Caenorhabditis elegans: one gene and its partner. The protein of the gene in region 2 interacts with the protein of the main gene of each other region in a biochemical or structural test. Each region holds a gene or a part of one and is shown on either strand. Other genes may lie near its edges.

The links.
Region 1: of the proteins of sup-35 (region 2) and ubq-1, one has a biochemical effect on the other in vitro, tested with the Caenorhabditis elegans proteins (one study listed by BioGRID).

The regions. Positions count from the first base shown.
Region 1 is NC_003281.10:5,939,396-5,944,547, reverse strand, and holds ubq-1 (Ubiquitin-related), read right to left. Parts: upstream 3,563-5,152; 5' UTR 3,558-3,562; coding exon 3,191-3,557; intron 3,141-3,190; coding exon 2,685-3,140; intron 2,632-2,684; coding exon 1,948-2,631; intron 1,900-1,947; coding exon 1,216-1,899; intron 1,166-1,215; coding exon 840-1,165; 3' UTR 721-839; downstream 1-720. Other genes in the region: F25B5.5 (CDK5RAP1-like protein), read left to right, coding at 1-43, 89-219, 263-412, 462-632. UniProt on the Caenorhabditis elegans protein: Ubiquitin exists either covalently attached to another protein, or free (unanchored).
Region 2 is NC_003281.10:11,115,012-11,121,176, forward strand, and holds sup-35 (Regulator of microtubule dynamics protein 1), read right to left. Parts: upstream 4,216-6,165; 5' UTR 4,189-4,215; coding exon 4,130-4,188; intron 4,086-4,129; coding exon 3,936-4,085; intron 3,893-3,935; coding exon 3,775-3,892; intron 3,474-3,774; exon of another isoform or gene 3,350-3,473; intron 2,947-3,349; coding exon 2,878-2,946; intron 2,827-2,877; coding exon 2,224-2,826; 3' UTR 1,212-2,223; coding exon of another isoform or gene 1,140-1,211; 3' UTR 743-1,139; downstream 1-742. Other genes in the region: Y48A6C.4 (Pre-rRNA-processing protein Ipi1 N-terminal domain-containing protein), read left to right, coding at 4,792-4,897, 4,943-5,061, 5,109-5,362, 5,407-5,575.

The DNA of each region.
Region 1 (5,152 bases), 5.2 Mb from region 2:
CTGTATTTGAGATTAGTTGATGATATTAGACATGTTTTACCAAGTGAGTATGAATCACTCTTCAAACAAAACTTAATTATTTTATCAGGCGTCTCTCTGACAAGTGACTTCATTGCCGGATTCTGTGGAGAAACTGAACAAGCTCATCAGAACACACTTTCCCTCATTCGAGCCGTTCGTTATTCATTCTGCTTCGTTTTCCCCTACAGTATGCGTGGAGTGAGTCAGTTGCTGAAAATTGTTCCTATCAGATTATTTTCAGAAAACGCGAGCACATCATCGGTTAACAGACGATGTTCCAGAAGATGTAAAAGCAAGAAGACATTTAGATTTGACTACTGTATTTCGGGAAGAAGCATTGAAATTGAACCAAGCGCTTATCGGGTCGGAACAGACGGTTTTGTTGGAAGGAGTGAGTCATCTATAAACACCAATAAAATGAATTAAAATAATATTTTTAGAAGTCAAAAAGGGATGCATCATTTTCACATGGAAGGATCGATGGTGGTGTGAAAGCAGTGTTCGACAATTCGAAACTCTGTTTGGAACCTGGTCAATATGCAAAGATTCTGATCACCGACGCCAATTCGCAGACATTGAAAGCGCAACTCATAGGACAATCCAGCATCTGATCTATAAATATAGTTGAACCTTACACTTCATAGAGTAGTTATCTTTGTTGTTTGTTATTGTTAAAGATAAATCGTTTGAGTACACGAAAATGAATTTATTCAGAGCTCGTTCATTAAAATACAGAAATTCCCGAAGGAATAAAGAATAAATAATTGTTACTTGAACGGAGATCGAGGAGGAATAACGAGTGAATTGATGGGTTCGATTTAAATGTCTCCTCCGCGAAGACGAAGAACGAGATGAAGTGTCGACTCCTTTTGGATGTTGTAATCGGATAGAGTGCGTCCATCCTCGAGCTGCTTTCCAGCAAAGATCAAACGTTGCTGATCTGGTGGGATTCCCTCCTTATCCTGGATTTTGGCTTTGACATTCTCAATGGTGTCCGAAGCTTCGACCTCGAGAGTGATGGTTTTTCCAGTCAAAGTCTTGACGAAGATCTGCATACCTCCTCTGAGACGGAGCACCAAATGAAGAGTAGACTCCTTCTGGATATTGTAGTCCGAAAGGGTACGGCCATCCTCGAGTTGCTTTCCTGAAAAACAATAAAAATTAGTTTTAATTCTAAAAACAATATGAACTCACCAGCGAAAATAAGTCTCTGCTGATCTGGTGGAATTCCTTCCTTGTCTTGGATCTTGGCCTTGACATTTTCGATGGTGTCGGAGGCTTCGACTTCGAGGGTGATGGTCTTTCCGGTCAATGTCTTGACGAAGATCTGCATACCTCCTCTCAGACGGAGAACCAAATGAAGAGTAGACTCCTTTTGGATGTTGTAGTCGGAGAGGGTACGACCGTCTTCGAGTTGTTTTCCGGCGAAGATGAGTCTCTGCTGATCTGGTGGGATTCCTTCCTTGTCTTGAATCTTGGCCTTCACATTCTCGATGGTATCAGAGGCTTCGACTTCAAGTGTGATGGTCTTTCCAGTCAATGTCTTGACGAAGATCTGCATACCTCCTCTGAGACGGAGCACCAAATGGAGGGTTGATTCCTTCTGGATATTGTAGTCCGAAAGGGTACGGCCATCCTCGAGTTGCTTTCCGGCGAAGATCAAGCGTTGCTGATCTGGTGGGATACCTTCTTTGTCTTGGATCTTGGCCTTCACGTTCTCAATAGTGTCAGAAGCTTCCACCTCGAGCGTGATGGTCTTTCCTGTAAGAGTCTTGACGAAGATCTGCATTCCTCCTCGGAGACGGAGAACCAAGTGAAGAGTAGATTCCTTCTGAATGTTGTAATCAGAGAGCGTGCGCCCATCTTCCAATTGCTTTCCTGAAATAATAATAGTTGATTTGAGTTATGTATATCTATATAACGTACCGGCAAAGATAAGACGCTGCTGATCTGGTGGGATTCCTTCCTTGTCTTGGATCTTGGCCTTCACATTTTCGATGGTATCAGAGGCTTCGACTTCGAGGGTGATAGTCTTTCCAGTCAAAGTCTTCACGAAGATTTGCATACCTCCTCTCAAACGGAGAACCAAATGAAGAGTTGATTCCTTCTGGATGTTGTAGTCCGAAAGGGTGCGGCCGTCTTCGAGCTGCTTTCCAGCGAAGATGAGACGTTGCTGATCTGGAGGAATTCCTTCCTTGTCCTGAATCTTGGCCTTCACGTTCTCGATGGTATCGGAGGCTTCGACTTCGAGGGTGATGGTCTTTCCGATAAGAGTCTTGACGAAGATTTGCATTCCTCCTCGGAGACGGAGAACCAAATGAAGAGTAGACTCCTTTTGGATGTTGTAATCGGAGAGAGTACGGCCATCCTCGAGTTGCTTTCCGGCAAAGATCAAACGCTGTTGATCTGGTGGGATACCTTCCTTGTCTTGGATCTTGGCCTTCACGTTCTCAATAGTGTCAGAAGCTTCAACCTCAAGAGTAATAGTCTTTCCGGTCAAAGTCTTGACGAAGATCTGCATTCCTCCTCTTAGGCGGAGCACCAAATGGAGGGTTGATTCCTTCTGGATATTGTAGTCCGAAAGGGTACGGCCATCCTCGAGTTGCTTTCCTGAAAATATATAATAAATTTTAGGTCAAATATTAGATATTTTGCCAACGTACCAGCAAAAATAAGTCTCTGCTGATCTGGTGGAATTCCTTCCTTGTCTTGGATCTTGGCCTTGACATTTTCGATGGTGTCGGAGGCTTCGACTTCGAGGGTGATGGTCTTTCCGGTCAATGTCTTGACGAAGATCTGCATACCTCCTCTCAAACGGAGAACCAAATGAAGAGTTGATTCCTTCTGGATGTTGTAGTCCGAAAGGGTGCGGCCGTCCTCGAGCTGCTTTCCGGCGAAGATAAGTCTTTGCTGATCTGGTGGGATTCCTTCTTTATCTTGAATCTTAGCCTTGACATTTTCGATCGTGTCGGAAGCTTCGACTTCAAGTGTGATGGTCTTTCCAGTCAATGTCTTGACGAAGATCTGCATACCTCCTCTGAGGCGGAGCACCAAGTGGAGAGTAGACTCTTTCTGAATATTGTAATCAGAGAGTGTGCGTCCATCTTCCAATTGCTTTCCTGGAAAAAAATTAGTCTCTCATGAACAAAATTTGTTATATGTAACATACCAGCAAAGATAAGACGCTGCTGATCTGGTGGGATTCCCTCCTTGTCTTGAATCTTGGCCTTGACGTTCTCGATCGTGTCGGAAGCTTCAACTTCAAGTGTGATGGTCTTTCCAGTCAAAGTCTTGACAAAGATCTGCATTCCTCCTCTAAGACGAAGAACCAAGTGAAGAGTAGATTCCTTCTGGATGTTGTAGTCAGACAGGGTGCGGCCGTCCTCGAGCTGCTTTCCGGCGAAGATGAGACGCTGCTGATCTGGTGGAATTCCTTCCTTGTCTTGGATCTTGGCTTTGACATTTTCGATGGTATCGGAAGCCTCCACCTCCAGGGTGATAGTTTTTCCAGTCAACGTTTTGACGAAGATTTGCATGATTGCTGAAAAAATAGAAAATGAGTGCGAATAAAACTGGAATGAGGAGGCGAGAGAAGAGGTGATTATGAAAGAAAGTCCTAGAAAGTTGCGAAATATTACCCAAAAAATCGATACACTAGTAAGACTAACAAAGCAAACTTCATCCCCACTCGTCATAGGCAAGTCAAACGAAAAAAGAAAGGCATAAAAGTAAAATGGTAGTAAAGAGCTAATCGATGAGGAGTAATGTCCGAGTAGAGACAAGTGAAATGAGAATGGAGACAAGGTGGCACGCGAGCGGAGCGTTCTGGTCGAATGGGGTGTATGACTGCTGTATGCCCGCCTCAACGATCGATAAAACCCCCAACGCACGCGCACACTGACTCCGCCTTCCCCGAGTGTTGTTAGAGACGCAGATGTTCAGCTGATGTCCTCGTTTCTCTGACCGAAAATAACTACCAAGCAGTATTGCTAAAATGGGAAAATAATTCATATAACAACTGATTGAGATTATTCAAAAAAGCATGACATTTCTGTTGGTTTTACCCCGCTAAATCTTACAATTAGACAAAAAAAAAGAAACTCACCGTTTGGTAAACTGATTCTTGACAGTAATAAATTAAAGAGCGCCCAAAACGTGAATATTGAATCTACACGTTGAACTTTACTCAAACATTCTAATTAAACGACGCACGTATTATTGAAGGCCACAAAGTAAAAAATGTTGCTATGCTCACTTTCTGTTAGCAAGAAGTCGCCTATTACGAGAACCAGTGAGGAAGAGCAAGAGAAAGGAGGGGGGGGGGGGGGGTCGCTGACTCAAACGGCACTCTTTCTGCACAAGAAGAACATTCTAGAGTGCTGTGTAGGGAAAGAAATGATGAGGAAGAAGGGGACAATGTGTGCAGAGGGAATACAACGAAAATCGAACGGGGTGTTCTTTTTTCTCGTCATGCAACTGGGTCGACCAGTTTCTTTTCATCTTTAACTAAACGATAGAGAAATCATAGGCCTGAATAATAGTGACGTCTGTGTAAAGTATTGTTTCCATTTTTGTTACAGAAAATGATGAAACGAAGAATAGGAAAAGTGAACAGGGTCAGTTGTTCGTTTGACGCATATATAGGGAGAACATAAGAAAGAGCAGACGGTCAAGGACATTTTTTTATAATCTGCGACTAGCAGGAAAGTATGAATAATGTCCTAACGGCACCCGAACCAATTTTCAGACAGACGCGAAAGTGCTTGTACTTTGTACTGATGAACGAACGACAAAACAAGTGCAGTGAGAAAACGGGAGGACACTGGGGAGAATCATGTGAGCCCGTCATAAGACTAAAAGATGAGCTAGTGGCGATCAGGCGAAGGTTCAATACGACTATTGGGTCTTTTCAAGAGAGCCCCGGAAAACTAAATTTAAAAACATCAGTTAAGAGTACAACGAGAACAGGGAATGAGGAACGCACAGACTAAACATTAAAATTTTCCGATACTTTTCGAAAGTATTGCGAAATCAATAACAAAATACTTTGCTATGAGTTTTTTAAATGAAAACCGAAATAATGCAATTTTCTGAATGCTGGAAAGAGTGAAAAAGCGATACGAAAAAGCAG
Region 2 (6,165 bases):
TGGGAGGATGCACGGGGTTCTGGCTCGACCCCTCGGTGTATTTTGTGCAAACACCGTCACGCGCAAATGCATACACTTTTTCAACGCGCTGCGTGAAAATTCCTCTTGCGAGATCAAATATTTTTTCCCGCCATTTTCCAAAATTTTCGAGAGGGGGGTCGAGCCAGAACCCCGTGAGGATGATATATATATTGATAAGGGAGACCGGTGGAACGTGAGAATTTTGAATTCCCGCGCTGGACTACGGTAGAAAGGTGAAATTGGAATTTTTTGATAGACTCTGGAATTTTCGGTTAAAACACGGAATTCTGGCTTCCCTCATGAATCGAAATGGCAGAGTTTGCCGAATTAGGCCATTTTGGGTCGGAGAGATTTTGTGTAGATTTACGGCGCGTTTTAGTTGTAAAACTACAGTTTGTTGTCCGTGTGGAGTACACGAAAAAAATTGTTTTTGTTTTTTTTGTTGATTTGTATAAAATTTTTTGATACATTTTTTTGTAATAAATAATTGAAAAAATACAATAATAAATTATTATACATTCCCACAATTATGCAAGCTTATTTTAAAGACGCATACACTGTTGGGTCTCGTCACGAATTGCGTGATTTTGGACGCTTCTAGGATCCAAAAGACGTAGATCGTGGCGAGACCTAAAGGTAATTGCCATGACATTTTTTCGACGTATGTATAATAAAATTATTATTATCATAAAATGATAAAAAGTTTCTTCAAAGCAAAAAAATAAATTATTACACATTCTCAAAAATATACTCTCCTATTTTAAAGGCGCATACACTTCTGGGTCCCGCCACGATTCACATAATTTTGGGTTCTTTTAGGATCCAAAAGACGCAGATCGTGGCGAGACCCATCGGAAAAATATGAGTTTTTTTTTTCGATTGGTAATTTTTTGCAATTTTTGCAAAAAACATGCACCTTTCATCAGCTGGCATTTTTTGGCGAATGTATAATAACACTTTTTTGTCCTGCCACGATCCACGTAATTTTTAGTGATTTTAAGCTTCAAAAAGTCGAAATCGTGGTGAGACCCAAAGTACAAAAAATGTGTGCGCCTTTAAACTGAGATGAAATTTTTCGACGAATGTATAATAATTTTTTTCCAAATTTTTCACAGCACCTTATTACAAGATGGCCCAATTGGCCATAGTCCTTCGGCTCGACATTCTTGAAGAATTTGTAAAAACCCCATTGGTTTTTTTGGCCTGAAAATCTATTAAATTTTGGGACCGAGGCGTGTGAACAAGATAGGAAATAGAGGTGAAAACCTGAGAAATTATCGATTTTTTTGTATAGCCGTTAAATATAGAATAAAAATGTTGAAAAATTGGTTGAAGCGGAAATGTTTGGGGCAATTTATAAGGGGAAAAGGGATTTTTAAATTTCTAAATTTTGGAATTTTTCACTAGAAAAGAACCGTTAACTGAGAAAAATTCTAAAAATTAGCTTAAACTCGGCGGAATTTCAATTTTTTCGAAAAAAACTTGATTATGAAAATTCCAAAAACTTTCCAAAAATTCGAAATTTTGAGCCAGCTTCTTCTAGAAATTTTCTCAAGGAAGTTTCAACAGAAAAATCAATTTTTTGAGAAGAATATGAATTTTGAGCTCAATTTCACTCAATTTTCAGGGATTTTCTGAAAGTAAAAATTTTCAATTATTTGAGAAAAATAGAATTTCCGGATCAACTACACTATAAATTCTAGGAATTCAGGAAAAAAATAAATTCCAAAAAACCGAAATTTTGAGCCAACTTCTTCAGAAAATTAGCTTAAAATTCGTGGAAATTTAAAAATAAAAATTAACAGATTTTGGGCTCCAAAATACCAAATTTCTGGCTCAATTTCCCTCAATTTTCACGGATTTTCTAAAAATAAAAATTCTTTAAAAAATACCAAAAAAAAATTTTTGAGCCAGTTTTTTCAAAAAATTAGCTAAAAATCAGAAAAATTCCAAAAATTTTAATTTTTTCGAGAAATCTGGCCATTTTTTTTTCTATTTTTCAGTAAATGTTTTGGAATTTCCTATAGAAAATCGGGGAAAAATTTAAAAATCCAAATTTTTAAAAAAAGAAGTTGGGCTCCAAGAATCCCCTGAAAATGGGAATTTTGGGCCGATTTTTACGGAATTTTTACAATAAAAAAACGGAGGAAAGTGCAAACGGAAAAATGAGACACAGAAAATAAAATGGAAATAAAAGAAGGATCAAATTGAGCACAAGTCAAGGGCGTCGGCGAGCAACTCTTTCTCGATATCGTTCGACGGGTCCATTTTGAGTGCGAGCTGAAACATTCCAATGGCGGCTTCTTTGTTTTCATTGTAAAGAAGCGCTTTGCCCAGGTGTACAATATTATCGATCCAATACGGTATGAGATCGAAAGCGGATCTGAACTGATAAATGGCATCGTCGATAGCGTCATATGGGGTGGCATAATGATGAATTAACTGTTGTCGGTCAGACTCCCAAATCTCCAGTGCTGAAAGAGCCCAACGGCCAAGAATATTATTGTACATTGCATTTTTTCCTGCCTGGATAGAGATGGCACGATCGAGATATTGTCTGCAGTGTCTCATCTCCAGATTCTTTTCATCGCCTTCAAGATATTCGATTGCCTTTCCTGACATCACAGCGGCCCAATGAGCAGCCAAGATGTTGTACGAATCGGTGTTCCAGGCTTCGGTAGCGTACATCTTTCCTTTGATTATGATGTCCTTTCTCTTTTCCTTCTCAACAAAATTTCCAATTTTTGTACACAATTTTGCCAAACGACAGAGAAGATCGATGGACTTCTCTCCAGAATCGTATCTCTGCAAATTTCGAATTTTATTTCATTGTTTAAATACAAATGAATAGTCTACCATCTTTAAAGCTTCAAAACAGTCGATATAGAAGTCACGAGTAATCATTGGAGAATCAACGACAGCAATCTGAAATCGAATAATTTTTCGTTAAAAAGAGTATCAAAATTTTAAAACTGTCACATCAAATTTGAATTTAGCCAAGCCCGTGAAAAATTCCCTCTCGATTTCGGATGCCAAAAATTGGCTCGAATCGAGAGATATTCGGGAGATGCTGGAATCAAATAAGACCTACTTTCTTTTAGATTTCCGCCGATCACCACAAAAATGAAAAGAGTGGGTAATACATGGCGGCCGACAACCCACGGGTTCCGCGCCTCGCTCTAAATTAAGTCAATTAAGCCACACCCTATCAGTTGGTGTGCTTTTGAAGGGCGTGGCTTAATTTACTTAATTTATAGCGAGGCGCGGAACCCGTGGGTTGTCGGCCGCGATATATTACCCACTCTTTTCATTTTTGTGGTGATCGGCGGAAATCTAAAAGAAAGTAGGTCTTATTTGATTCCAGCATCTCCCGAATATCTCTCGATTCGAGCCAATTTTCGGCATCCGAAATCGAGCGGAGTTTTTCGCGGGCTTGGCTGGATTCAAATTTAAGGTGACAGTTTTAATATTTTACTTTTAATATAATACTTAACTGTATAAAAAACCTGAACTGCCTACTGTAGAACTGGCGTCGATGTATTGGCTTGCTATTTGTAATTTTCTGATCAAATTGTGACAGCGAAATTCAAGTTGTTGTCATTTTTGTGATTTCTTTTAATTTTTATCGAATGATTTCCGTAAGTCGCCGCTAGTGATACAGTAGTCTTTGAAAAAGTTACTGTAGTTTTCGATACAAGATATTTTGCGCAAAACGCATTCTCAGATAAAATAAAATTATCATCTGCTCCTTACCAGCTTTTCCGTGCTCGTGTTTCCCCAATGACGAATAACCGCTCGCATGATCACTGAATTGAATTCTTCAATCACATCACCGGATACTCTCACTGCTGCAATTATGGAATCTACAATTCTGAAATATTATATTTATTTTAGCTCTGAGATAACAACAATACCTAGTATTTCTAATTTTTGGATCATCGAATGTTTGAGCATTTTCGTGAGCTAAAAGAGTATGCTCTTTGGCCTCTTCTGCAGAGCCAAAGCTCTCTTCGCACTCTGAACACATGTGTTCCAGATGATGATCCGCAGTGAGATGATCGTCCCTGAAACAAAAACCGGTGATTATGCAATACAATGTTTGACTTACAGTTTGGAAAGCGAAAAAAGTCCACAATCTCCACGTGGGCACGCAAAAGTGTGAGCCATTTTATGTTCAAAAATAAAAATCTGAAAGTTCAAAAAATTAGGAATATTTCAGAACATTCATGCCATATAAATTACGAGCCTTCAGAATCACTAAATTTTTTAGGAGGACGAATGTGTGAAAGATATATGAAACTATAATACGTGAAAAATATTTATAAGAGTAAAACGTCGTTTAAAAATGAGAAAAAAGAAGATAAAATGCGGTAAAACACCGCGAAATTATTCAAATCACTCGATTCGCGCCTTTTTCCTATGCGCAGTAGAGCGCTTTTGCTTTGGAGACGTTGCTGTATTATGAGATAAATGAGTGTGCAGAAACGGGAACGCAGGATAATTATAAATTATTGTAAGGATCTGATTTGAGCATAGTGGGAAAAATTTTAACAATTTGGTTTTCAATTTATTTTAACTCTGAATAAAAGAAAATATTAAAAATTGGGCGTGATGTTTCTATTTATGGGAATAATTTTCTCTCGAATCAATATCTATGAAACTTGCACTTCACCGAGGCGTGGTCTCTCCTCTCTTTTTTTTTCCTTTGCCATTTTCGCATTTTTCTTGTTATTCTCTCAAGAAACACGCGAAAATTAACATTTTTTGCAGATGGTGACCAAAAAGAAGGCACGGAAAAACGAAGATTTCAAAAAAGTCAAGCTGAAGGTGGGAAAAAAGCTGAAAAAAACGACGACCACCGACACGACTATCAAAGGTGAGTTTTCACCCGATTTTCGCGAATTTTAATTCATTTTTTCAGCAAAACGAGTAGTATTGGCGACTCAGTTGGAGGAAAAAGTGGAAACAGATGATAATCCACTTAGTTTCCGTGGTCTAACGCTCGATGAGCTCTGCAAGCAGATGGGGCACTTTAATGCGGTAATTTTTCGCTGAATATCGATCAAAATTAATAAATTCTCGTTCAGAAAGTGAAAATGAACGCTATTCAAGGACTAAAACAGATTTTAACGTCTCGCCCGGATCTTGTCAACGTCCAGTTGAGGCTTTTGGTTCCCTGCGTGGCTGTGCACGTGGCTGACGCTTCTTTCGAGCCCTCCACACGTCAGAATCTACTGAATCTCTACAAAATTCTGTGTACAGCTTCAATTCAAGCAATGTCGGCTCATATCACACTTTTCCTGTCCCACGTGCTCCGCGCTCTAACGAATATCGTCACAGAGTGAGTGGATTTTTTCTGAAAAATGGGAAATTTTGAATTTTCAGAGTCCGCCACCTCGCACTGAGCACACTTTCGGTGCTTCTCGATCGATATCCGAGCCTTTGCCGGAATCATGCCGATCTCTTCCCCTGTTTTATCAATTATCTGGGCAGTTCGAAGCGTCTGGCGTGGAATAAGCCGGGATTAATCGATACAATTCTCAATTTCATCAATGTTCGTAGTTTTTTGCCTGGAAATTGCGAAAAATTCACTAGAAATTCGAGAAAATCGATTTTAAACTGCATTTTTATGTGTGGTCCTGGAAAACACAAAAAAACCAGAAAAAAATGAAGAAAAATCGATAAAAAATCCGATTTTGCAGCAAGAATCAGAGCAAAATTGCAATTTTGCGCTGAAAAAACTTAAAAAATGGATTAAATTCTGTATCTTTCGGTAAAAATCTTGGAAGTTGACTGAAAATCCGAAAAATAAATTTTTAAACTTGAACTTTCTGTTTAAAACACAAATTTTCGACTGAAAACTAGTGAAAAATTCAAATTTTGTGGTTAAAAAAGCTGAAAACTCAGCGATTTCCCAGAAAATTGATATTTTTCAGTAAAAATCTTAGAAGTTGGCTGAAAATCCGAAAAATACATTTTTTAAATTGCAATTTTCAGTTGAAAACTCCAAAAAATTACTAAAAACCACAAAATTTTGACCGAAACCTGTTAAAAATGGCAATTTTATTGTAAAAAAGCTGAAAATTCACTGGCATCTAGTTTTTTTTCAGAAAAAATACTGAAAATTGACGAAATTTGCAGTTT